3 linked regions of the Oryctolagus cuniculus genome follow. The protein of the gene in region 3 interacts with the protein of the main gene of each other region in a biochemical or structural test. Links are inferred from orthologs where the notes say so. Each region holds a gene or a part of one and is shown on either strand. Other genes may lie near its edges. The genes, in order: STAT3, NR4A1 and MAPK8.

Region 1 (7,315 bases), on a different chromosome or scaffold from region 3:
CAGTGCGTGACGTCAAGACACTTTAAATGCCCCTGATACGGCTCCCTCCTGCCCGCTCTCCCTTTTCCCGGCCCTTGGCACCACGTGGGGGCGAGACTGAGAGGTTCTTACCACGTGGGAATCAGCCAGTTAGACGGTCCCCGGGTATCGCCAGATCTGCCAGGCGCCCTCCTCTTGGACTGGGTTTCTGGGGCCGACAAGACGAACATGGGCGACCCTTGCCTGCTTTGAACCCCAGCTTCTGCGTGAGTTGGGACACACACACCCGGAAACATGACGTGGAAATAGAGTAATTACTAGATTGCGTGGGAGACGGCGGTGGATTTAACCCCGTCTTGGGTTCTGTGCCTTCAGCCGCTAGTGCGCGGGCCGGTACACACACGTGCGGACTGTAGGTGAAGATGACCCCTTGCTGACATTTCTGTGCCGAAATGCTCCCCGTTGTCTGCCCTATTTTTTTTCCACCTTGTCTATGCAGGTATTACTGAACTGAAGCCGGTCGTTCATAGGAAATGTACACACTTTGCCTTTCGTAATAGGGTGAATTTTGCATAATAGAGTGTTGTGTGTGTGCTCCATTCTATCCGGGTTCTTTTTTTTTTTTTTTTTTTTTTAGCAAAAACAAAAATCGTTTAACACAACGAGATAAGATAAAATATAAAAAGGGCCCATTATCTCAACCACCCACGTAACTTCTAATAACACTTTTCTCAGTGAAACTAATCCATGTTCATGGTTTAAAAATTCAAACAATTCAGAAAAATTTTAAGAGACTTATTTGAAAGTTACAGAGAGAGAGCAGAGCAAGATCTTCCATCCCCTGGTTCACTCCCCAAATGGCCACAACCACTGGAGCTGGATGGATCTGAAATCAGGAACCATGAGCTTCTTCCAAGTCTCTCACTTGAATACAAGGACCCAAGCCCTGGGGCCAGCTTCCACTGCTTTCCCAGGAGCATTAGCAAGGAGCTGGATCAGAAGTGGAGAAGCTGAGACTCAAACCAGTTCCCATTCGGGATGCCGGCACTGAAGGCAGCAGGTTTACCGGCAATGCCTCAGGACTGGCCCCTCAAAATATTTATTTTAAAACAAGATTTATTGAAGTCAGAAACCTCCGGATGCAGCAGCCAAGAGGGGGGCTCCAAGAGAGGCAGACCCCCCTCCCAGAAATTTTTAAATGAAAAATCTCCCCCTCCTGCCTCATTCAGTCTTCCCCAAGGATAGCTGTTCTTAATTTTTGGTGAGAAAAAAAATCAGTGTCTCTTAACCTTTGAAGGGGAGTGGATCTCAGAGTTTGGTGGAGAATACGGATTCCAGCCCCAGAAATACTCAGCAATTCACATGGTTCCCCCAAGACTCCAGGTTCAGACTTCTGGTGCGCCCTTAAATCCAAGTGAGAGGTGAGGGAACCCATAAGGCAACCGTCAGTGTCGGGGTGCTGGGACAGCTGTCTCGGGGTGTCCTGTAGATCCCGGAAGTGTGGGATTGCCTGTTTGTAAACAGAGTGCATGTACGGGTCATGGATCACTCTTTATCTTCACCATGGCCACCTCCCCTAAAGTCCATCCCAGCTGTGTGGCCCCTTGCAGTTCACGGCCTCCCTGGTGGCAGAGGGTCTGATATTTGCTCAGTGATTTACTGCTTGGAAGGTGCTCACACACTCTCCTCTCCTTTCTCACAACAGGTCACCTTCATCGCTGACAACGAGGGCCCAATCCCAGCGATACCCGGAGGTGCACCAGGTGGGTCAGAGCCACAGCTTTGTTCCATCCTGGTAAGCTGTGACCCCTGACCCCTCAGGAGCGTTCACTCCCCTCACTGCCCTCGCCACCGTTCTCCCCTGAAATCTACCTCTGAGCCTGCCTGATAAAGGGACAAAAACCCTCTGCAGCCTCCGACTGACCCCAATCCCCACCGGCTGAACGCTGCAGCTTCTCCCTCTTGAGCCGAAGCCTGGCCGCTTCCCTACTGTCTCCTTACTCCATCCCGATCTCCCCTTGGCTACCAGGAGCATCATCCTAAAAGTTATATGAATAAATACTCAGCCCTGTCGCCATCTGCCTCAAAATCTCTTCTGTTCTCCGTGATCCATAGGGTAAAAATCCAAGTTCCTTCAAAAAAAAGCACCAACCTCCTAACTCAGTGCCAGGCATGCGGCAGGAGCTGGGCTGATGCCCCTTGTCCTCTCGATTCGACTCCTAAATCCTGTATTCTCACCTGAAGCCCTTTGTCCAGGCTCATCCCACACCACCTGAACTCCCGCCCTGCCCTGATCACCTTCCCCAGGGCGTGCCAGCACCACCCGCCACTTCAGCCCCTGTGGGTTTTCTTCCCTCCCACCATGTCTCTTCCATTTCCTCGCTCCCTCGCTGAAAACTCTCTCATTCTTGAAGGCGCGGTTCCAGCATCGCCGCCTCTGGGCTTTCCCGGTGCTCCCAGGCAGTCTGCCTCTCGGCTGCCGTCAGCAGGTGTTTCCCCACCTTGAACTGCAATGTATCCATTTACTAGCCCACTTCCTTATAAATGAAATAATTAACCTTTATTAATCACTATGTTCTAGGAACTGTACTGAGCATTTTACGCAGAGATTGTCATTTGATCAAGGACATAGGCGTTCTAATTCTCATTTTATGACTGTGGAAACTAAGGCTTAGAAAGAAAAGGCCTGGGGCTGGCCTTTGGCCGCACAGTGAACACATGTGCCTCCCATATCAGAATGCCCGCCTTCCACGCTCAGCTGCACTCCTGATTCTAATAACCTGCGAATGCAGGCCCTGGGAGGCAGCAGGTGATGGCTCAAACAGCTGGATCCCTGCCAGCCTTTGGGAGACCTGGGTTGAATAACTTGGCTCCCAGCTTCAGCTGGCCCTGTCCTGGCTATTTCAGGCATTTGGGGGGTAACCAGCAGATGGAAGGTCTCTGTTCCTACCCCATCACTCTGCCTTTCTTTCCTTTTTTTTTTTTTTTTTTTTTTTTTTAAACACTGCAGGGCCAGTGCTGTGGCATAGAAGGTTAAGCCTCCACCTGCAGTGCCGGCATCCACAGGTTTGAGTCCCAGCTGCTCCACTTCTGATCCCGCTCCCTGCTAATGTGCCTGGGAAAGCAGCAGAGGATGGCCCAAGTGCTTGGGCCCCTGCACTCATGTGAGAGACCAGGATGAAGCTCCTGGCTCTCAGTTTCAGCCTGGCCCAGACCTGACTGTTGTAGACACTTGGGGAATGAACTGGTGATGGAAGATCTCTCTCTCTCTCTCTCTCTCCCCCTCCTTCTCTGTATTTCTGCCTTCCAAATAAACAAATTAAAAATTAAAAAAAAGGCGCGGTTGGGGTGGGCTTTAGGGCACTGAAGGTTAAGCTGTGGCTTGCGACACCCACATCCCGTATTGTAGCATCTGGGATCAAGTCCTGCCTCTGCTTCCCATGGAAGCTTCCATGGCTTCTGTGCACCTGAGGAGGCAGCAGGTGGTCACTCAAGCACTTGGGTCTCTGCCACCCACATGAGAGACCCAGATGGAGTTCCAGGTTCCTGACCTTGGCCTGACCCAGCCTCGACTATTGCTGGCATCTGGGGAGTGAACCAGCAGACGGAAGATCGCTCTATGTGTGTGTGTCTTTGTGTTGCTCTGCCTTTCAAATAAACAAAACACAAAAACGTGGCATGGCAGAGAAGGCCTCTGGGCTGATAGGTGGGTGGTGAGGCATGGTGGTGACCAAAGGTGACAACATACAGGCAAGGGGTCCTTCACGGGGCTCAGCAACAGGGCTGCCTGGCTCCTCTCACTGACAGCACCGGGAAGAGCAGGGACTTGCTCCGCAGGCATCCTCTTGCAAGCCTCTCTCTTTCTCCCCAGCTGATCAACAGCCCTCCCTCTTCACTGTTGGCAAGGCTGTGTCATTCCCTACTGCCTAAGCAGCATTCACACCATGCCATTCTGTTCCTCCGGGGCTTCCCAGGGAGCTTAGGGGAAGGGGTTTTCCTTTATCTCATCCCTGCAAGGCCCTCCCTGCTGCCTACTGAATTCCAGCCAGGCCACGTCCCAGCCCTTGGTCTTGGCATGTGCCAGCTCCCTCTCTCCACCTGGCTTTGGCACAGCTACTTCCGCCTCACCACTCCCATCTTACTCAGTCTTCCTCTAACCACTCCTGCCTAGAGTTGGTCCCAACTTGTTCATCACTATCTCTCTGTCCAGTTTCCTGGACTCTTATCACAACTCTCATTTTATTTATCTGTTTACAGAGTTTGTTATCTCCCTCCTTACACTGTTAGTTGCACTGGATCTTGGCTCTTTGGTGATCTCTTGTGCGGAGCACATAATAGCTGCTCAGTAAGTAGTGAATAAGTGGAAGTGTTCTGTGTCCCACTTCTGCCTCTGAGCTTTATCAATTCTCTCCTCCCTCCGTCTCTGAAGACACTTCCTCTTTTCTGTCTTGACCCTAGTATTTCCTCAGTTACCCCTCCACTTCTCATCACTGCCCCCACATCTCTACTTGCTCGCCCTAGGTGGCTTCTGCCAGCCCCTGACCAGAGGACAGTGGTCGTGAAGGCCACCAGGGGCCTCCTCCTGACCAGAGTGGACATGCTCTCGTTTCCCGTAGCTTTGCTGTAGAAGCTGATACTGGGCAGCGTCCTAGCCACTCTCTCCCCTTGGCCATCACCGCAGGCAACAGACGCAGTCACATTCACGTGAAAGCTCCCGGGAACTGAAGTGAGACACCCCAAGTTTGAATCCAGGTTCTGGTCCAGGATCAGCTGTGCAGCCTTGGGAGAGTTCCCTAACCTCTCTGAGCCTTGGCATCCTGATCTAACTAGAGAGCATAATTCCGACTTGGTAATTTTGTATTCAAATGTTCTTGCTTGGAAGATACCCTCAAGGTGACTGCGCAGCCTGGTGGATGAGAGCCAGGTCCTGACTCAGTCTACTTCCCAGCCGCTCTGCCCACTGGGCGGTGTGACCCTAGGCTACTTCCTGAACCTCTCTGGATCTGTTTCCTCATCTATGACATAGGAAGAGGAAAGTACCTACACCATAGGTTGTCATTACCTTTTTTTTTTTTTTTAAGGATTTTTATTTATTTGTTTATGTAAAAGGCAGAGTTACAGAGACAGAGGGGGAGAAACAGAGGATTGAGGGAAGAGAGATTGATCGTCCATCTGCTGGTTCACTCCCCAAATGCCTGCAACAGCTAGAGCTGGGCCAGGAGCCAGGAACTTCCAGGTCTCCCACATGGGTGGTAGGGGCCCAACCACTTGGGCCATCCTCTGCTGCTTTCACAGGCACATTAGCAGGGAGCTGAGTGAGAAATGGAGCAGCTGGGACTGGAACCTTCACTCCTATATGGGAGACCAGCATGGCAGGCAGCAGCTTAACCTGCTGCACCAAAATGCCAGCCCTTGGACAATCATCCTTGATAGAGCAGCCATGCACAGGGCAGGGGTATTGGTCACCCAGCGGAGACAAAGCCTGGAGGGAGGGGGCAGGGACTTTTCTGGGCAGGGGACATCCAATATGTGTCAGGAATTCTCCTAGGTAATGCTGATGAGAGTGCCCTGTGCCCAGCAGGACGCCTGTCTCCTGTGTGACCCCTCCCTCCACAGTCTAGTTTGCTGGTCTCAAACTTCACTCAAAGGGTGCCTTTAATTCCTTTTTTTTTTTTTTTTTAAGATTTATTTATTTGAAAGGCAGAGTTAGGGGGCAGGGACCCGGGGTCAGGGAGAAAGAGAGAGATCTTCCATTTGCTGTTTTGTTCTCCAGATGGCCTCAACAGCTGGAGCTGGGCCAGGCCGAAGTCAGGAGTCAGGAGCTTCTTCTGGGTCTCCCACACGGGTGCATTGGTCCAAATGCTTGGGTCAGCTTCTGCTGCTTTGCCAAGCCTTTAGCAGGGAGCTAGATGGAAGCAGAGCACCCGGGTCTTGAACCGGCGCCTATATGGGATGCTGGCATCGTGGGCCCTAGGATGCCTTAATCCTAGATTCTACCTTCTTCTCTCTCAACTCCCTCCCTTGGCAAACTCATTATTCCTAGCACTTCAACAACACCTTTCTTGTTTTCTTTAAAAAAAAAAAATGTTTTAGAGGTGGAGATAGAGCTCCCTTCTGCTGGTTCACTCCCCAAAGCCCACAGTGGCCAGGACTGGACCAGGGCCAGGCCAGGGCCAAAGTCAGAGGTGGGAACCCAGTGCAGGTCTGCCATGTGGGTAGCAGGGATCCAACGACTTAAGCCATCACTGCTGCCTCCCAGGGTCTGCATTAGCGGGAAGCTGGAATCAGAAGCTGGATCCAAGGACTAAGCCCAGGCACTCCAGTGGGGGATGCAGGCCTCATGTCTCTTAATTACTAGGCCACACGCTGGCCTCCATGACTATCTTCTGATAATTCTTTTATGCTAAGCCTCAGCAGACAGAGGTAAGTTACTTTCTCTGTAGTGTGACACCTTCTGCTTCTTCATCTGGAATCGAGGCCCCTTTAACTCTCCTCTGTGAGCTGCTCCTTAATCAGACTTGCAGCCCCATGCCCCATCTGTCCTGCATCCTGCCTGCTAGCTCACAAGCCCTCCCTTCCCAACAATGCCCTGGTTCCCTTCAGCCACATCTGTAACTGAAGAACCTCTCCTCCTTGCCTTGGATCCACGGTGAACACTGGTGTTAACTGGCTCCAGCAGGTTCTGTGTGCCAGGAATTTGGAATTTGAAATTGACAGGCACAGAGGCCAGCACTCTGGTGAAGCAGCTTAAGCAGCTACCTGCAGTGCCAACCTCCCATATAGGCACTTTTTTTAAAAAATATTTATTTTATTTCTTGGAAAGGCTGAGTTACAGAGAGACAGAGCAAGAAAGATCTTCCATCTGCTCCTTCACTCCCCAGATGGCTGCAACAGGTGGGGCTGGGCCAGGCCCAAGCCAGGAGCATTCTCTGGGTTTCCTACATGGTTGGCAGGGGCCCAAGCACTTGGGCCATCTGCTGCTTTCCCAGGTGTATTAGCAGGGTGCTGGATTGGAAGTGGAGCAGCTGGGACTTGAACTGGCACCCATATGGGATGCCAGCATTACAGGTGGCAGCTTTACCCACTATGCCATAGCACCGGCCCCCTGGGCACTGGTTTGAGTCTTGGCTACTGCACTTCCAGTCCAGCTCCCTGTTAATGTGCCTGGGAAAGCAGTGGAGGATGGCCTGTGCTTGCACCCCTGCATGCAGGTGTGAGACCCAGACCAAGCTCCTGGCTCCTGGCTTCGGCCTGGCCCAGCCCCAGCCATTGTGGCCATCTGGGAAGTGAACCAGTAGATGGAAGATCTCTCTTCTCTTTGTCTCTCCTTTTCTCT
Region 2 (7,298 bases), on a different chromosome or scaffold from region 3:
GGAGACTCCCCCTGGGCCCCCTCCAGCCCAGCCCCTGCCAGACAGCTTGCTGGTGTCGCCAGCGATGTCAGAAATCACTCACGCAGTCTTAGGGGGCTCCAGGCCCCGGCTGTGAGCTGCGCACACCCTGAGAGGGAGGAGGAGGGGTACCCAGGGCGGGGCTGCATCCCACCTCTCAGCTGATGGGATGACGGCACCAGCGCAGCAGCCTCCTGCCGTGTAGGTGGGTGACAGGGAGTGACTAATGTGCGGGCTGCGATGCTAAAAATTAACCCAGGGATCGTGTTTGGCGGAGGGGGTGGGGGTGGGTGGGCAAAGGAGCAGGGACTGGGAATACTGTGTGGTCGGTATTCCCCTGCCCCGCCTCCCCCCCAACACCTCCCACCAGCCTTCTGATCCTCTCAGCCTCAGGACTAAGGGGGGTGGGGGGTTGGGATGGACTCCACTGCAGGTCTCATGCATGGCGGGGCCAGGCCATGGCCTGAGGTTCCCACAGAGCCCTGCCTTTTGCTATCTCCCCTGCATGGTGGCATCGTGTCCCTGTATGCTCTGGGGCATAGGCAGTGGGGCACGCTGAGGCAGCTGGTGTACTGAGACGAGACATGGGACACGGTGGGGGAGGGAGGGGGGAGGGATGGTCAGACTATCGCCCAGAACAGCTCCTGTGTACCCCACACTGTGCTAAGCACTTCCACATCCATCGCCTCGCTTGGGTCTCACAGGGAGCATCCTTGTGCCCATTTTACAGATAAAGAAACTGAGGATTGGAGAGGTTCTCAGCTGGTCCCTTTGGGAGCCAGGCTTCTCTCTCCTAGTTGTTCCCTGTAGCCCAGAGCAGGCAGAGGGAGAATGCTTCGTGGGGGGGGGGGGTGTGAGGACAGGAACACAGTGATGGGGAGCCAATAGTAGACCACCAGGGTTCCACAGGTGTGGATGCTACCCCCGAGTGAGGGGAGGACACGCCCAGCAGAGTGGGGGAGTGGGTGAGACTCTTGGGACTTGGTGCTAGGGTCCACAAACGGGGCTCAAGGATGGTGCCGAGAGGAAACCCGATGGAAGGGGGGGTTCTATGAATACTCCCACCTTCCCTGGAGCGCGAGATTGAGCAATGGCGGTGGCCCTCCCTGCCCGCGGTCAGCCCTGAGGGAGACTGTGGGATTGCCCAGGGGCAGGCGAGACGTCAGGCCGCCGTGCGGTGCGGAGGCTGCTGGGTCCCGCTTGGAAAGCCGAGGACAGGGTCGTCAGGGGAAGGGAGTGGACAGGAGCGCGGGCTGGCCGCAGGTCCAGGTGGGACCTCAGGGCGCCAGCCCGGGGGGAGAGCGCTGCGCTGACCCCTAGTGGTGACCTCGAAACGCTGCTACCCATCCACGGTGCAGGGGCTTCTGCCAGGGCGGAGCCCCCCCTGAACCCACAACCCTTTATTTAAGCCCCTCCCGCCGCAGGGGTCCCCACTGGGGGGCTCCCAGGCCATTGAACCCTCCCCTATGCACCTCTGCGACCCATGCCTGGCGGTGGGATGCCACTGACGGGGCTGACTGGGTGGCCGATGGGGCAAACAGCACCAACTGACGGCAGGTGTGCCCCGTGAACCAGAGGGAACCTGGGACTTCTGCGCTCTGGGCCCCGCAAACCTCTGCGCGGGGCATGCCAGCGGGGCCCGGGCAGGAAGCGCGTTGGCCAAACGGAAATCAAAAATTTTGATGTCAAGGAAAACCTCCCAAATCTCAGTGACTTCCCTTCCTGGAGTTGGGCCTTTCCGGAGGCAATGTACAAATCACGCAACAAGGTAACAGTTGCGCAAGTGCCTGGGGCTCTCTCTGCCCACTGCTCGGTCTGCAGTCAGACTGGGCCTCCCGCACGCCCAGCCCCCCCTCCCCCTTTCTGGGTGAGTGAAGGCAAGCCCAGAAGTTGGTTACCTGTTGCAGCAGCAAATGGCTTCGGGGGACATTTAACAGTGCAGACACCCCACCCCCGCACTTCAGATTTTGTTCTAGCACCGGTTCGAGTCCCGGCTGCTCCACTTCCCAACCAGCTCCCTGCTAATATGCCTGGGAAAGCAGCAGAGGATGGCCCAAGTCCCTGGGCCCCTGCACCCATGTGGGAGATTCAGATGGAGGCCCCAGCTCCTGGCTTATGCCCGGCCATTGGGGCTGTTTGGGGAGTGAACCAGCAGATGGAGGATCTCTCTCTGTAGCACTGCGTTCCAGATAGGTAGGTAGGTAGGTAGGTAGGTAAATAGATAGATGGATTTTGACCCAGGAGTACTGGCGTGGGCTGGGGCGTTGCTATTTTAGGAGTGCCCGAGGTACCTCCTAAGAGTTTCTGGATGGATATTGGATCCCAATGGCCACATCCGTGTCCCAGCACCCGGGACCTGCTGACCGGCTCAGCGACAGAGGGCAACGGAGGGCTTCCCCACTGGCGGCGGCTCTTGGGGGTTCAAGTCTACACCAGGAGTTGGACCAGGCGGGGAGGGGGGTGGCGGCGGGGGTTGGAGCCGGCTGCCCACTAGACCGGGTTGTGGACTAGGCTGAAGCCGGGTGAGGGAGGCGCGCAGCATATCAGTGCCCACGCTCGCCCGCCCTGAGAGGTGCTTAGGGCTGGGACGCCAAGGCAGATTCGGCCCCCGGTAGGGGGGGAGGGTGGTTCGCAGCCGCTGCGACCCGCGGTGGGGGCGGAGACCAGGCGGGAAGCAGGTGGCAGCGCCCGAGTGAGCAACCGCTTCTTGGGGCAGCTGATCGCGTCGCCTTAGGAAATCCCGGAGACCAGGTGCAGCCCCTGCCGCCGCCCACGCGGGGGCCTTCCCCCGGCGCGCGCCCAGGCGGGACCCGTGGCCCTGCAAGCTCCGCCCCTAGGTGCCCGCGGCGGCCACGCTCCGGCCGCGCTGGTTCGCGGAGCTGCGGGGCGGCGTCGCCCCCTGGCGGGAAGGCTTGGGACTGGCGCGTCCGGCTTTCCCTCCTGGAAATGTAGGGATGTCGGTGCCGGCCCCACTGTCTGCCAGGAGTCAGGGCCTCTCCCTCAGGTTAGCCCGGTCCCGCCCGCCAGCCCCGGGACGCTGGGAGCTGGCAGGGGGTGCTTCTGCTGCCGCTGCTGCTGTGATGACAAACAGGGGGTCGGACCTTGCCCCCTGTCCAGCATTGCACGTGACCAGCGTCCGCAGAATTCCTCACCTCAGCATCTTCCCGCTCAGCCCTGTACCGATGCGCTTGCCTCGGGGTAAAGGCGCTTTGCTTTCCCTGGCCTCACCCGGGTGCCCGCTCTTGCAGAAACGCACCCTGCTGCGGGCCCCTGTATAATCAGCTCTCATTGCACGACGTCACCCCTCCACTAGAAGGCACGTGCAAGAAAAGTGGAGGCTCTCCGAGGTTCTTTATTCACCCCTTCGGTTCCTGCAACCTGGCGCACGGTCCGCTCTGCTTACGCTCGGGCGTGCACGTCCGTCCGACAGCCTTGCTCCCTTCCAAGGGGCGGCAGTGCCACTTGTGCCCGGTGGAGGGCGCCACCGCCCAGCGCTCCGGAGTGCAGGTGTCTCAGCGAAGCCCGAAGGCCTCGGCGCTCCCACCGCTGTGACCGGAAGCGGGAGGGCCCCCCGCGCTAATCTGCCCTGGCAGGCGGAGCTGGCATGCTCTGGCTGCATGGGCCGGCGCGCTGTGTGCCGCAGGCCAGAATGCCCGGACTGGTGGCTGGGACACAGCGCTCAGCAGCTGATGGAGCCATCACAGCCTGTCCCGGGCGCACAAGACGTTCTGCGAAGGTAGACACCTGGCCGATGTGACTGCTGTGCGTCTGTAACCGGTCGTGGCAGCAGACTGGCAACCAGAGGGCCAATTAGAGGCGACTTAGAGGAGTCTCGAGGCTGCCCCGGAGGTGAGTTTATGAAGGGGATTAAGACGGCGAAGGAGACGGAGGTTAAAAATAGCAACCACTTTTCACCAGGAGCTTATTAGGAGCCAGAGCTGAGGACAGCGCCTCCAGACATTGTCTAATTATAGCCAACACTTATACCGGCGTTGCTCTCGCGCCAGGAACTGCCTGAGCGCCTCGGCCAGGCACGCAGCTGCTCCTCACGGTAGCTCAGGGCTGTAGGTGGCATCTCTGTCCCTGTCCCGCACATGGGGAAACTGAGGCACAAGGGCCTAAAGAACTGGCCCCAGGCCACGCGCCGGGCTGGGATGAAGACAGCTAGGAGTTATCATCAGGCCCAGCACACCTAAAAGACCATGTGAAGCCACCCAAGAGCAGGTGCATCTTAGCCCAGTGTCACCACCAGGCTGAGCCTCCCAGCGCCCACAGAGGTGGCCGCAGCGGTGGGCACAGGTGCAACAGTGGACACAACGCCTCCTCTTCTAGTGGTGCACGGGGACAGAGAACAGAGGCCAGGGCAGCTGGAGGAGTTTGCTCCACGGGCTTGGCTCACAGGAGGGAGAAGCCAGGCCATGGCGGAGGTGTGCTGGTGGCTGTCACCCCCACGCCTGTTGATGGTGATTCCACCCAGAATCTTGGGCTCCGTCCACCCACGTCCACGGGGCAGCATGCACTCTGAGGGGCTGGCCCTCCACGGAGGAGACTGGAGCATGCCTGCCCTTGCTCCAAGTACCCACCACTCAGCTCCTGGCTGCCAGCTTTTACATAAGCTGCTCCATACCAGGGCTGGCCGGGCTGGGCTGGGGGCATGATGAATGGTTCTGGGCCGTCAGCTGACAGCCCTGTGCTCCCGAGGTGACCTGAGGGCCCATCGGCAGCTCGGGTTACCCAGCCCTTCCCGGGAGGGCAGTCCTGCCTGGCTTGCAGAGGACCGTCCCAAAGTGCCTCTGTGTCTGGACATTTATGGTGTGGGTGCTGAGGGACCGCCCCGCGCACAGCCACGCCGCGCCCACCGCTGGGTCTCTGCAGCCGGCGCCGGGGGAGTTGGGGGCTCCCCTAGCACCTCGGAGTCCTGAGCCTGAGGAATTGCAGGTGGGAGGGGAGTGCACGCCAGCCGCATTCCCATGCCTCCCATTCCAGTCCGCTCTGTCCCTGCACTTATGGTCGTGGACACAAGGGGGCGCCCGCACACCCTGATGCCCACCGCAGAGGACAGCACCAGACACACCAACCCCGAGGTCCTGAGTGGCCTGGGCTAGACTCTCACAGACCACGTGGGGAGTGGGACGGTGCGCCTCCGGGGGCTGCGCTCATGTGCTCAGACCTATGGGGCCACCCGGATCGTGCACCTGTTGACACCTGCTGCTGAACAGATCAGGCCAGCGTTTAACCCAGCTATTAGGATGCCGGTTAAGACGCCCACGGGCCCCATCCTAGTGTCTGGTTCAAGGCCTGGCTCCAGCTTCCTGCCAATGCAGAGCCTGGGAGGAGGCAGTGATGACTAGAGATCACGTGGGAGACCTGGATTTAGTTCCCAGCTCCCAGTTTTGGCCCAGCCCTGGCCATTCTGGGCATGAATCATCAGATAGGAGCTCTGTCTCCTTTATTTAATTTTTTGAATTACTTATTTGTTACTTACGTGAAAGAAGCAGACGGCCTATTTGGTCATTTCCCCCAAAAGTCTGTAATAGCCGGGGCTGGGCAGGGCTGCAGCCAGGAGACGGGATGTCATCCAGGTCTCCCACATGGGGGCGGGAACTCGACCACTGGCGCCACTACCGCCGCCTCTCCGGGTCTGCCCTGGAGTCGGGAGCTGGCCCTCGAACCCAGGCACTCTGGTGTGGGAGGTGGCTGAACTGCTAGGTCTGGTACATGCCCCTCAAATAACAGTAAAAACCTTCCCCAAGAAAATAGTAATGCTTTATAAATTACTAGGTGTTACATCCCCTAATTGGCTGGTGCTGTAGTGCAGCAGGTTAAGCCATAGCCTGCAGCGCCGGCATCTCATATGGGCGCCAGTTCAAGTCCCGGCTGCTCCACTTCTGATCCATTTCCCTACTAATGTACCTGGGAGAGCAGCAGAGGAAGATGGCCCAAGTCCTTGGGTCCCCATACCCATGTGGGAGACCCGGAAGAAGCTCCTGACTCTTGTAAATACACACACTCACACACATGCATACACATTCATGCACACGTGCACACACGCGCACACATGCACACCTCTCTGCTCTCCTTGGTGCTCACACACGCGGCCCAGACTCCCTCTGAACTCCTGCAGCAGCGCCCCTCCCCCACCCCCGACGTGCCCTGCCCATGCCCAGGTGCGGCCTCTGCCTCTGCACCCCTCTCCTGAGCTGTGGGTGGGTCCAAGCCACAGGGGAGACGGCCCCCAAAGCCACACCAGAGATGGGCACAGCACGGGCCACACCTGTGGGGGAGCGGGGGGGGGCGTGGCGTGGCCTCCCCGGTGCCTGCCTCCTGCCTGCCTCCCTGTCTCCCCCCCCCCCCAGGGGGTTTTTCGCCAGTAACCGGAGCTGGCTTGCTGGTGAAAGCAGGAGCAGCCGTGTCTCCTGGCAACGGCGACTGCACACAAGATCCAGCTAATCCCAGGCTGGCCCGGCCGCCTGCCGCCCGGCGCACACCCCCGGAAACACTGCTCACACACCTCTCCCTCATCCCAGCCCAGGCTTGCAGGGGCAAGGAGGACCCTTTCTTTCTCCATCCTCTCTGTCTCTTTCCCGTCTTCCAGCACTGGGGCCCATCAGAGCACGGAGCATGCGACAACATGGCGGGGGCCAGCCTCTGAGGCCACCCTGTTTTGCATGCAGAGCTACACGCTGCTGCTTCCGGGCCGGGGCCCCTGGATCTGCTCCTTGATGTCCTGGTTCCTCAATACTAAAATAGCACTCACCTGAAGAGAGGAAGCAGGCAGCACAGTGCTGGGCTCCAGGCCCTGCAGGATTTGGCCCCATCCCGGCTCTGGCCTCACCTCCTTTAGTCCCCTCCCTTTTATGCTGCTCTTCTAACGGGCCAGGCTCTGTGGTGTGGCAGGTTAGGGCACCAGCTGCGATGCTGGCACCCCATATCAGAGCGCTGGTTCAAGTCCCCAGCAGGCTCCACTTCCCATACAGCTCCCTGCTAACATGCCCCGGGGGAAGGCAGCTGATAACGGCCCCAAGTACTTGGGCCCCTGCCACTCATGTGGGAGACTCAGCTGGCTCTGCGCTTTCTGCCTGTGAAATATCTCACTGATACCCTGCATTGCATTATCTTTTTACATCTGTGATGCTTAATTTTTATTTGCAAAGACATGCATTGAACTGTAGTTTCTTGCTGTTGCAAGCTTTTTGGGAGAGTAAACCAGTGATTCCTCTCTCTCTCTTTCACTCTCTCTTACTCTCTTTCGCTCGCTCTCTCTCACTCTCTCTCTCCTG
Region 3 (7,265 bases):
CCGGGCTGCTCTGCTTCTGATCCAGCTCTCTGCTATGGCCTGGGATAGCAGTAGAAGATGGCCCAAGTCCTTGGGCTCCTGTACCCAAGTGGGAGACCTGGAAGAAGCTCCTGGCTCCTGGCTTCGGATTGGTGCAGCTCTGGCCGTTGCGGCCATCTGGGGAGTGAACCATCAGATGGAAGACCTCTCTGTCTCTACCTCTCTCTCTAACTCTGCTTGTCAAATTAAAAAAAAAAAAAGTAAGCTGTCTTGGCATTCCACTTTCTTCAAATGTGTTACATGATATAGCTATTCTCAGCTCCTGGATTGCCATTCCTTGGAATATCTGGAAAATAAACCAAGGAAAGTTTAGGCAATTCTCTGCTATTGGAAAGGCCAACAACTGTGTATTAGAGGTCATGGCAAATACGTTCCCTTCAATCTCTGCTTTTGGAACATTTCTGTATTTTAAAGCAGGGAGGACTGCAGGCCCAAATATTAACATAATTCATCTCAGACAATGCAGATTAGATGAGATGATCAAACTGTAAATAAACCTCCCAGAGCTGCAAAGGGAAACAACTGGCATGCTCTTCTGTAGGATTACGATGTACACTGAGAGTCAAGTTGGTTTTAAATTTACTTGACATTTTGCATTTGTTCAAAGTTAAAAATACTAAGTGATAACAATAGTTAAAAATGTCCTGAACACTTAACATCTACCATGTAGGCCTGGCATCGGCGCCAGGCACCTGCAAATGCAACACCTTATTTAAAACTCACAGCCCTATGATAATTCAACAGGTCCAAATGTGCTAATTAATCTAAACCAGCCACACCACTGGGATCATGGACTGGAACTTGGGAATGGCCCTAGTCCATATGAGCGATCACTGTGAGGTTTGGGTCCCTCAACTTCTTCAAGAATTGGCCAGTTTTAGCCCAATCTGGTGTACAAGTAAAAGCTAACAGTAGACACAGACATATGTCACATGTATGACATAACCCAATACCTTGAAAAATAGTAGCTAGTAAGATTTTCAAAAGTATCAGATACAATTTTGAAAACCTGGGTTTCAGTGAAATCTGGCCTGCCTAGAGATTTGTAGTGGGTTCTCTGCTTGAGGGAAGCCTCACACATCTTTTCAGAGCACAAGTCCACTGCTTAGATATGGCTCATATTCCATCCTTGATCATAAGCTTCTTACGGCTAGTGAACCTCCATTTTCATTTCTTTCACAAAGTCTCTGAGAGCAGCAAGTCTCCTTAGAAAGCATGGTGTTGTAGGATGAACAGAATCTACCATTAAAACAATAACAATCTTGAGCTTATGGTTATGCTTTTCTTTTCTAGTCTGGCTAACTCAACAATGTTCTCTGCTAACAACTAACAGAAGCCTAACTTTCACTGCTGTTCTGGACCCCAGCTTCTTTCTGAAGAAACACCTAATTGGGAACAAACTTCTATTTAAAAAAAAAAAAAAAAAAAGGCATTCCGACAGCCTCAGTTTATAGTTGTAGAACCACCTTGCTTAAGACTCCAAAGTCAGCTAAGTAACAAGTGAACCTAGGTCTGCTCCCAGACCATATTATTTCAATACTCTTGTCAACTTTCAGGTAGTAAAATCTCTTGAATCAGAACTCATTTCTGAAATCAAATTCAAGTTAACCTGCATTAGCGTAAGAATGCAAAGCTTCTAAATATTCAGGTAAAGAGTTCATGACTAAGACAATAAGCATCACAGCTCACTAAAATAGGCAAATGATTCATATCTAAAGTTACACGGTTATAATGACTTCCTTGCATTACATGAATCAGAAAGGCTACTGCCCGTACCAAGGACTTGACCAGAGACCTCGAGAGAGCCGGCATCCTAAAGCCAGACACTATTTCATTCTTCCACACGTGCAACAAAGCATCTCAACCACGCAGATGACTCAAATATGTCAAAACTCAGCGTGATGGCAAAGCCCCAACCGAGGCAGGCGCCTACTCAACAACCTTAATTACCACCAGGATAGTTTGTGACTAGTCATTTAATAACAAATTACTTCAAGTTGTTTCACTAAACACCGTGGATCACCACAGGTCATTTCCGTAATATAAAGTAAGGGTATACTGAAGATTCTAGGTGAATTAATTTTGATACAATTTACTCTTCCTCTGAGTCCTTTTCCAATGTGAAGAGGTATGAAGGACAGTTTCCTGTTCCTCCAGGACACTCAAAGGTGCCCTTTGCAAAGTCATTAAAGGCATGGATTTAGTTAACAGAAGCAGCGCCATCTCTCCCTTTAAAACATTTTTCAAATGCTGAGTGATTGCTAATAGGCATGGGGTTTCTTCCCTGGCTGATGACAATACTCTGGAATTTAAAAGCAGTGATCAATATATAACTTTGTGAACATACTAAAAAAACACTGAAATGGAACACTCTAAAAGGATGAATTTTATGATATGTGAATTAAATGTAAAGAATGCTATTAAAAAAAAATTTAGGGAAAAAAAAGCAGCCACAACTCTAGTTCTTTAAATTGCCTGACCAAAGGGTTTTTATCAGTAAGCCCTACTGGATCCTGACATCTGACTAACTTGGTAAAGCAATTAAAATTTGGTATCTCAAGATTATCATTCCGTATTTTAATAAAGTATCACTTTATTATTTCTTCATTTCTACTAGACATCAAACAGTAAGTTCACCTCAACTTCTTTCATATCAAAACAAATGTGAAAATGTACTTAGCAGTGAGTGGGAAACAGCTATAACTTGAATAATTAGGTATTATTTTGAGTTTTAGTCCCACATGCGTCATGAAGTGTTAATATAAGGAGTTAAACATTTCCAATTAATGCTTCTAAAATCCTATTAGAAGTTACATATTTCTAATAAAACATTTACACAGTCTATATCCTTTTTTCTAGCTTTTCTACTGAAAGAAGTAGTCAAAAACCTCTCAATACTTACAAGAAGATAAACGCAATCATTTCAGCCTCCTACTAAAATACCACTCTGTGTGTGTGTACACGTACACGACACGCCTTGGCCCCTACAATCCAACTTACTTTATGAATCACCAGAAAACACTTAGACAAGGTTTTATTTTAGGATAGTGGATGGCCTAGAAGTGACGGGGGGTGGGGGGGGATGGGGGGGAATGACACCAAAGTGACTCAAAAGCCCATAACCCATCTCCTATTATATGAAACCGATCGTTTGGCTATGTGGAAGAGAATCGCAGGAACCTTCCGCAAACCATATGAACGTTAATAAAAGTTGTATTGAGCACTTACTATTTCCCCGGCTAGAAAAAGAGAAACAGATGGAAGACAGGCCTGCTCTCCAGGAAGTCCCAGGCTTTAGTCAGACTCAGCACCACAGCCTCGGACCTCCTGGGTTTCACGTTAACCGCGGCGGCCGGGTCTGAGGTAGCCATCCCAAATGACCACAGGGCTCGAAGACTGGGCAAAAAAAATAAAAAATTTTTTGAAAGTAAAAACTATTGTGGATTTAGATCAAAGATAACTATCTCCTCGTATAACATTTTACTTGAACTTCCAGAGATTCTGTTAAAAACTAGTAAAATGACCCAGCGCACAACTCTACCTCCACACACGCATCGCTTATATAACCATCTCATTTAAAGGCACATCTGCTACACTGCAACCAAGGCTTCCTCCTCCACTGAGGGCCGTCTTCCCTTTACATGCAAACCTCTCCCCTGTGGGCGCAGTAGGGAGCAGCTGCCGAATGAATGAATGAATGAATGAATGGAACACACGCGCGCGCGCACACACACACACACACACACACACGGATGTTCTCGCTTCAAGCAGGCACTGGATGCTTAGCTGACAGACCAGAATTCCACCGGAAAGACCACCGCATCTACAAACAGCGACCACCGGACATTGTCTCCTACCGCGCGGTCAACACGGCGATCCACGCACAGTACAGACGCGAGGGGGAACTTGAAGACGCCACAGTGTCCAAGGCGGCCTCGCTTCCACCACCCGCCGGGGGTCGGGAACGCCAGCGCAGACAAAGCGACGGCACGGTGGGGAGAAGCAGCCCAGAGGTCACCACCGAAGTGACCCGCAGCGGGGACACGCGCGCTGGCCACGCAGGCTCGGGGCCGGGATCGAGGGGCACCCTCCACGCACGGGCCGCGGGGCCTGGCCTCCCCCAGGCCGCCTTCGACTAGGAAGCCCGCGCACAAAGGAACCTCGCCGAGCGACACGCGCACACACACACGGTCCCCGTGGGCGCCGGGGCGGGCGCGCGGACCCTGTCGCCAGCGCGCCGGCCCCCGGCGCCGGGGAGTCGGCTGCGCGCCGCGGGCCGCCCGGGCCCCCTTCGCCCAAGTGCTTCCCAAGTTGCCGCCCACCCCCATCTTCTCCTCCCGACGCGCAAGCGGGACCCCCGCGAGGAGGGCGTGCAACGACAGCGACGCGCGCGCGCGGGCCGGGCCGGGCCGGGCCGGGCCGAGCCGACCCGGGGCGCCGAGCCGGGGCGCGCGTCCGGCGCCCGCGGCCCCACGCCCCCCGCGGCCGCCCCCGCCTCCGGGGCCGCTATTGTTCCCGCGCCGCCCCCGCCCGCCGCGCGCGCCCGCCCCCACGCCCGGGGAGGGGTTCACGGCTGAGGAGAAGGCGGCGGCGGCCGCACAATAACATAAACACGGCGGGGCCGCCGGCAGCCGCGGCGCCCGCCACACTCACCCGGCAGCGCGGCGAACAGCGACGGGGAAGCCCGCCGGCGGGCACGGGCGCCGTCCGGGCGGTCGCCGCGGCCGTTACCCAGCGCAGCTCGCGGCTCCGCGCTCCAGGCTGCGTCGTCCGGCCTCGGCCGCTCCGCTGAGTAACAGGGACGCGCGGGCCGTCACCGCGCACGCCCGCCCACGTCATCGCGCAGAGCCCCGCCCCCCGCGCCTCCGAGCGGCCCGCGGGGCGGGGCGCCCCGGGGCCCGGATTGCGGGGGCGGGGCCGCGGCCCGGGGGCGGGGCTACCCGCCGCGGAGGTCGCCAGGAGGAGGAGCCCCCGGAGCGCCGCCCGACAGCCGCGTGCGAGGGGCGTGGCCGCGGGCCGGTGCGGGCGGGGTCCCGGTGGCGGCACGTGGCGGCGCGTGGCCCGGGCGGGTGGCGGCTGCCCCGCGGCGGTCCGCTGATGCGCGCCTGCACCTGCAGGGCTCCTCGCCCCGGGCGTGGAAGGTCATACCAACCCGGCGAGCAGGTGCACCCACTTGGGCGCACACCTGGGAGACCGGAGCCGGTTACCGTGACCGACTGGACTCTGCATACTGAGGACACCCGCCTGGGGCCCGGCGTCCGGAGGCAAATCCAAGGCCTTTATTAGCCTCCTGTTTGTTTTCTGAAAACGCACCTAGTCCGGATTCCTTGCATTGCCGGGTTTACAGCTGAAGCTCCTCAGAGAAATTGACAGGTCCTTAAAGACCCAACAACAGGAGGAAGGCACCTGCGTTACTGTCAGGCGTGCTATAGAGCACGTTTTAGGAATGTGTTCGAGGAAGTGTTACCAAATTGGGAAAGACAAAGAAGCAACAAGGACACCCACATACACGGAGTGATCCGTGTCAGTACTGCCTAGTACCTAGGGGGAAAAAACTGGAAAGAAATGTGCCAGGGGCCGGCGCGGTGGCTTAGGCGGTAAAGCTGCTGCCTGCGATGCGGGCATCCCATATGAGCTCCTGTCCGAGTCCTGGCTGCTCCACTTCGCATCCAGCTCCCTGCTAATGGCCTGGGAAAGCAGCAGAGGATGGCCCAAGTGCTTGGGCCCCTGCATGCACATGGGAGACCCAGAAGAAGCTCCGGATCCCTAGGTCCGGACTGGCACAGCTCCACCTCCAGCCATTGCGACCATCTGGGGAGTGAACCAGCAGATGGATCTCTCTCTCTCTCCCTGTAACTCTGCCTTTCAAATAAATAAGTAAATTTTTTAAAAAGAGAAATGTGCCAGATTATTTTAACATCTGTTCATCATTAGACAGAGTGAAGGGTGATTTGGGTCTTTGTTATACTGTGGGTATAACAAACCCCACGCCTAGTACAGCCATACTGGCCCTGCTGAAGGTCTTTCTTTCTGACAGGTTCTGCAGTGGGGGTGGGGGTGGTTGGGGGGAGTGGCATAGTCAGAATGACATCTTTTTTTATTTTTTATTTTTGACAGGCAAAGTTATAGACAGTGAGAGAGACAGAGAGAAAGGTCTTCCTTCCATTGGTTCACTCCCCAAATGGCCGCTACAGCTGGTCTGCGCTGATCCGAAGCCAGGAGCCAGGTGCTTCCTCCTGGTCTCCCCTGTGGGTGCAGGCACCCAAGCACTTGGGCCATCCTCCACTGCCTTCCTGGGCCACAGCAGAGAGCTGGATTGGAAGAGGAGCAACCGGGACTAAAACCCGGTGCCCATATGGGATGCGAGCGTCGCAGGTGGAGGATTAACCAAGTGATCCACAGCTCAGAATGTCCTCAGAATGACATCTTGAAAAGAGTCCTATTAGGGGCCTGTGCTGTGGTGTGCAGGTTAAGCCATAGCCTGCAGCACCAGCATCCCATATGGACACCAGTTCAAGTCTCGGTTGTTCCACTTCTGATCCAGCTCTCAGCTAATGTACCTGGGAAAGCAGTGGAAGATGGCCCAAGTGCTTGGGCCCCTGCACCCATATGGGAGACCTAGATGACGCCTCTGACTCTTGTCTCCTGGCTTCAGCCTGGCCCAACCCCAGCTGTTGCAGCCATTTGGGGAATGAACCAGTGGATAGAAGCTCTATCTTTCTCACTTCATCTCTCCTTCTCTCGCTGTAACGAAAAGAAAGGTCCTATTGGAAGGAAGTCACTTGATTGTAGGAGTGACTTAGATAGCAAAAGGTGGAGACCCAGTCTAGGCTTGTTGTCATGGAAACAGTAAGTAGAAGGACCGGAGGACTGTTGGAACATCCAGTGTGCACAGCTTGCACGTTTTGCAAGTGGTGGGTGAGAGGGGATCATCTTGGGACTCTCGTAGGCTTCTGGCCTGTGGCCAAGGATAGAAGCTGGTGCTGATCCTGCAATGTGGGACTCTTGGAGCAGGCCCAGTGCGGCGGGGGGAAGATCATGAGAGCAGATTCGCTGGTGGTCTGACCACTATTGATATGCCCGAAAGAATTGCCTAGTTGGCAGTTGTACTGACACGGCTGGGGCTTGCTAGGTAAGAGATGAATCACTGACCAAAGGAGTGACCTAAAGCCTAGGGTGTGGACGAGTGAGCCTAGGCCATGGAGAGACAGTGTAGTGTAGTGTGT

The links.
Region 1: of the proteins of MAPK8 (region 3) and STAT3, one has a biochemical effect on the other in vitro, tested with the Homo sapiens proteins (2 studies listed by BioGRID). The link is inferred for Oryctolagus cuniculus from reciprocal best matches to the Homo sapiens genes MAPK8 and STAT3.
Region 2: of the proteins of MAPK8 (region 3) and NR4A1, one has a biochemical effect on the other in vitro, tested with the Homo sapiens proteins (2 studies listed by BioGRID). The link is inferred for Oryctolagus cuniculus from reciprocal best matches to the Homo sapiens genes MAPK8 and NR4A1.

The regions. Positions count from the first base shown.
Region 1 is NC_091448.1:20,435,239-20,442,553, reverse strand, and holds the start of STAT3 (signal transducer and activator of transcription 3), read right to left. Parts: upstream 3,791-7,315; 5' UTR 3,746-3,790; intron 3,125-3,745; exon of another isoform or gene 2,990-3,124; intron 2,063-2,989; exon of another isoform or gene 1,892-2,062; intron 1,743-1,891; exon of another isoform or gene 1,685-1,742; intron 1,394-1,684; exon of another isoform or gene 1,277-1,393; intron 258-1,276; exon of another isoform or gene 51-257; intron 1-50. UniProt on the Homo sapiens protein: Signal transducer and transcription activator that mediates cellular responses to interleukins, KITLG/SCF, LEP and other growth factors. Once activated, recruits coactivators, such as NCOA1 or MED1, to the promoter region of the target gene.
Region 2 is NC_091442.1:55,339,555-55,346,852, forward strand, and holds the start of NR4A1 (nuclear receptor subfamily 4immunitygroup A member 1), read left to right. Parts: upstream 1-3,354; 5' UTR 3,355-3,867; intron 3,868-7,298. UniProt on the Homo sapiens protein: Orphan nuclear receptor. Binds the NGFI-B response element (NBRE) 5'-AAAGGTCA-3'. Binds 9-cis-retinoic acid outside of its ligand-binding (NR LBD) domain.
Region 3 is NC_091446.1:81,310,956-81,318,220, reverse strand, and holds the start of MAPK8 (mitogen-activated protein kinase 8), read right to left. Parts: upstream 4,894-7,265; 5' UTR 4,693-4,893; intron 1-4,692. UniProt on the Homo sapiens protein: Serine/threonine-protein kinase involved in various processes such as cell proliferation, differentiation, migration, transformation and programmed cell death.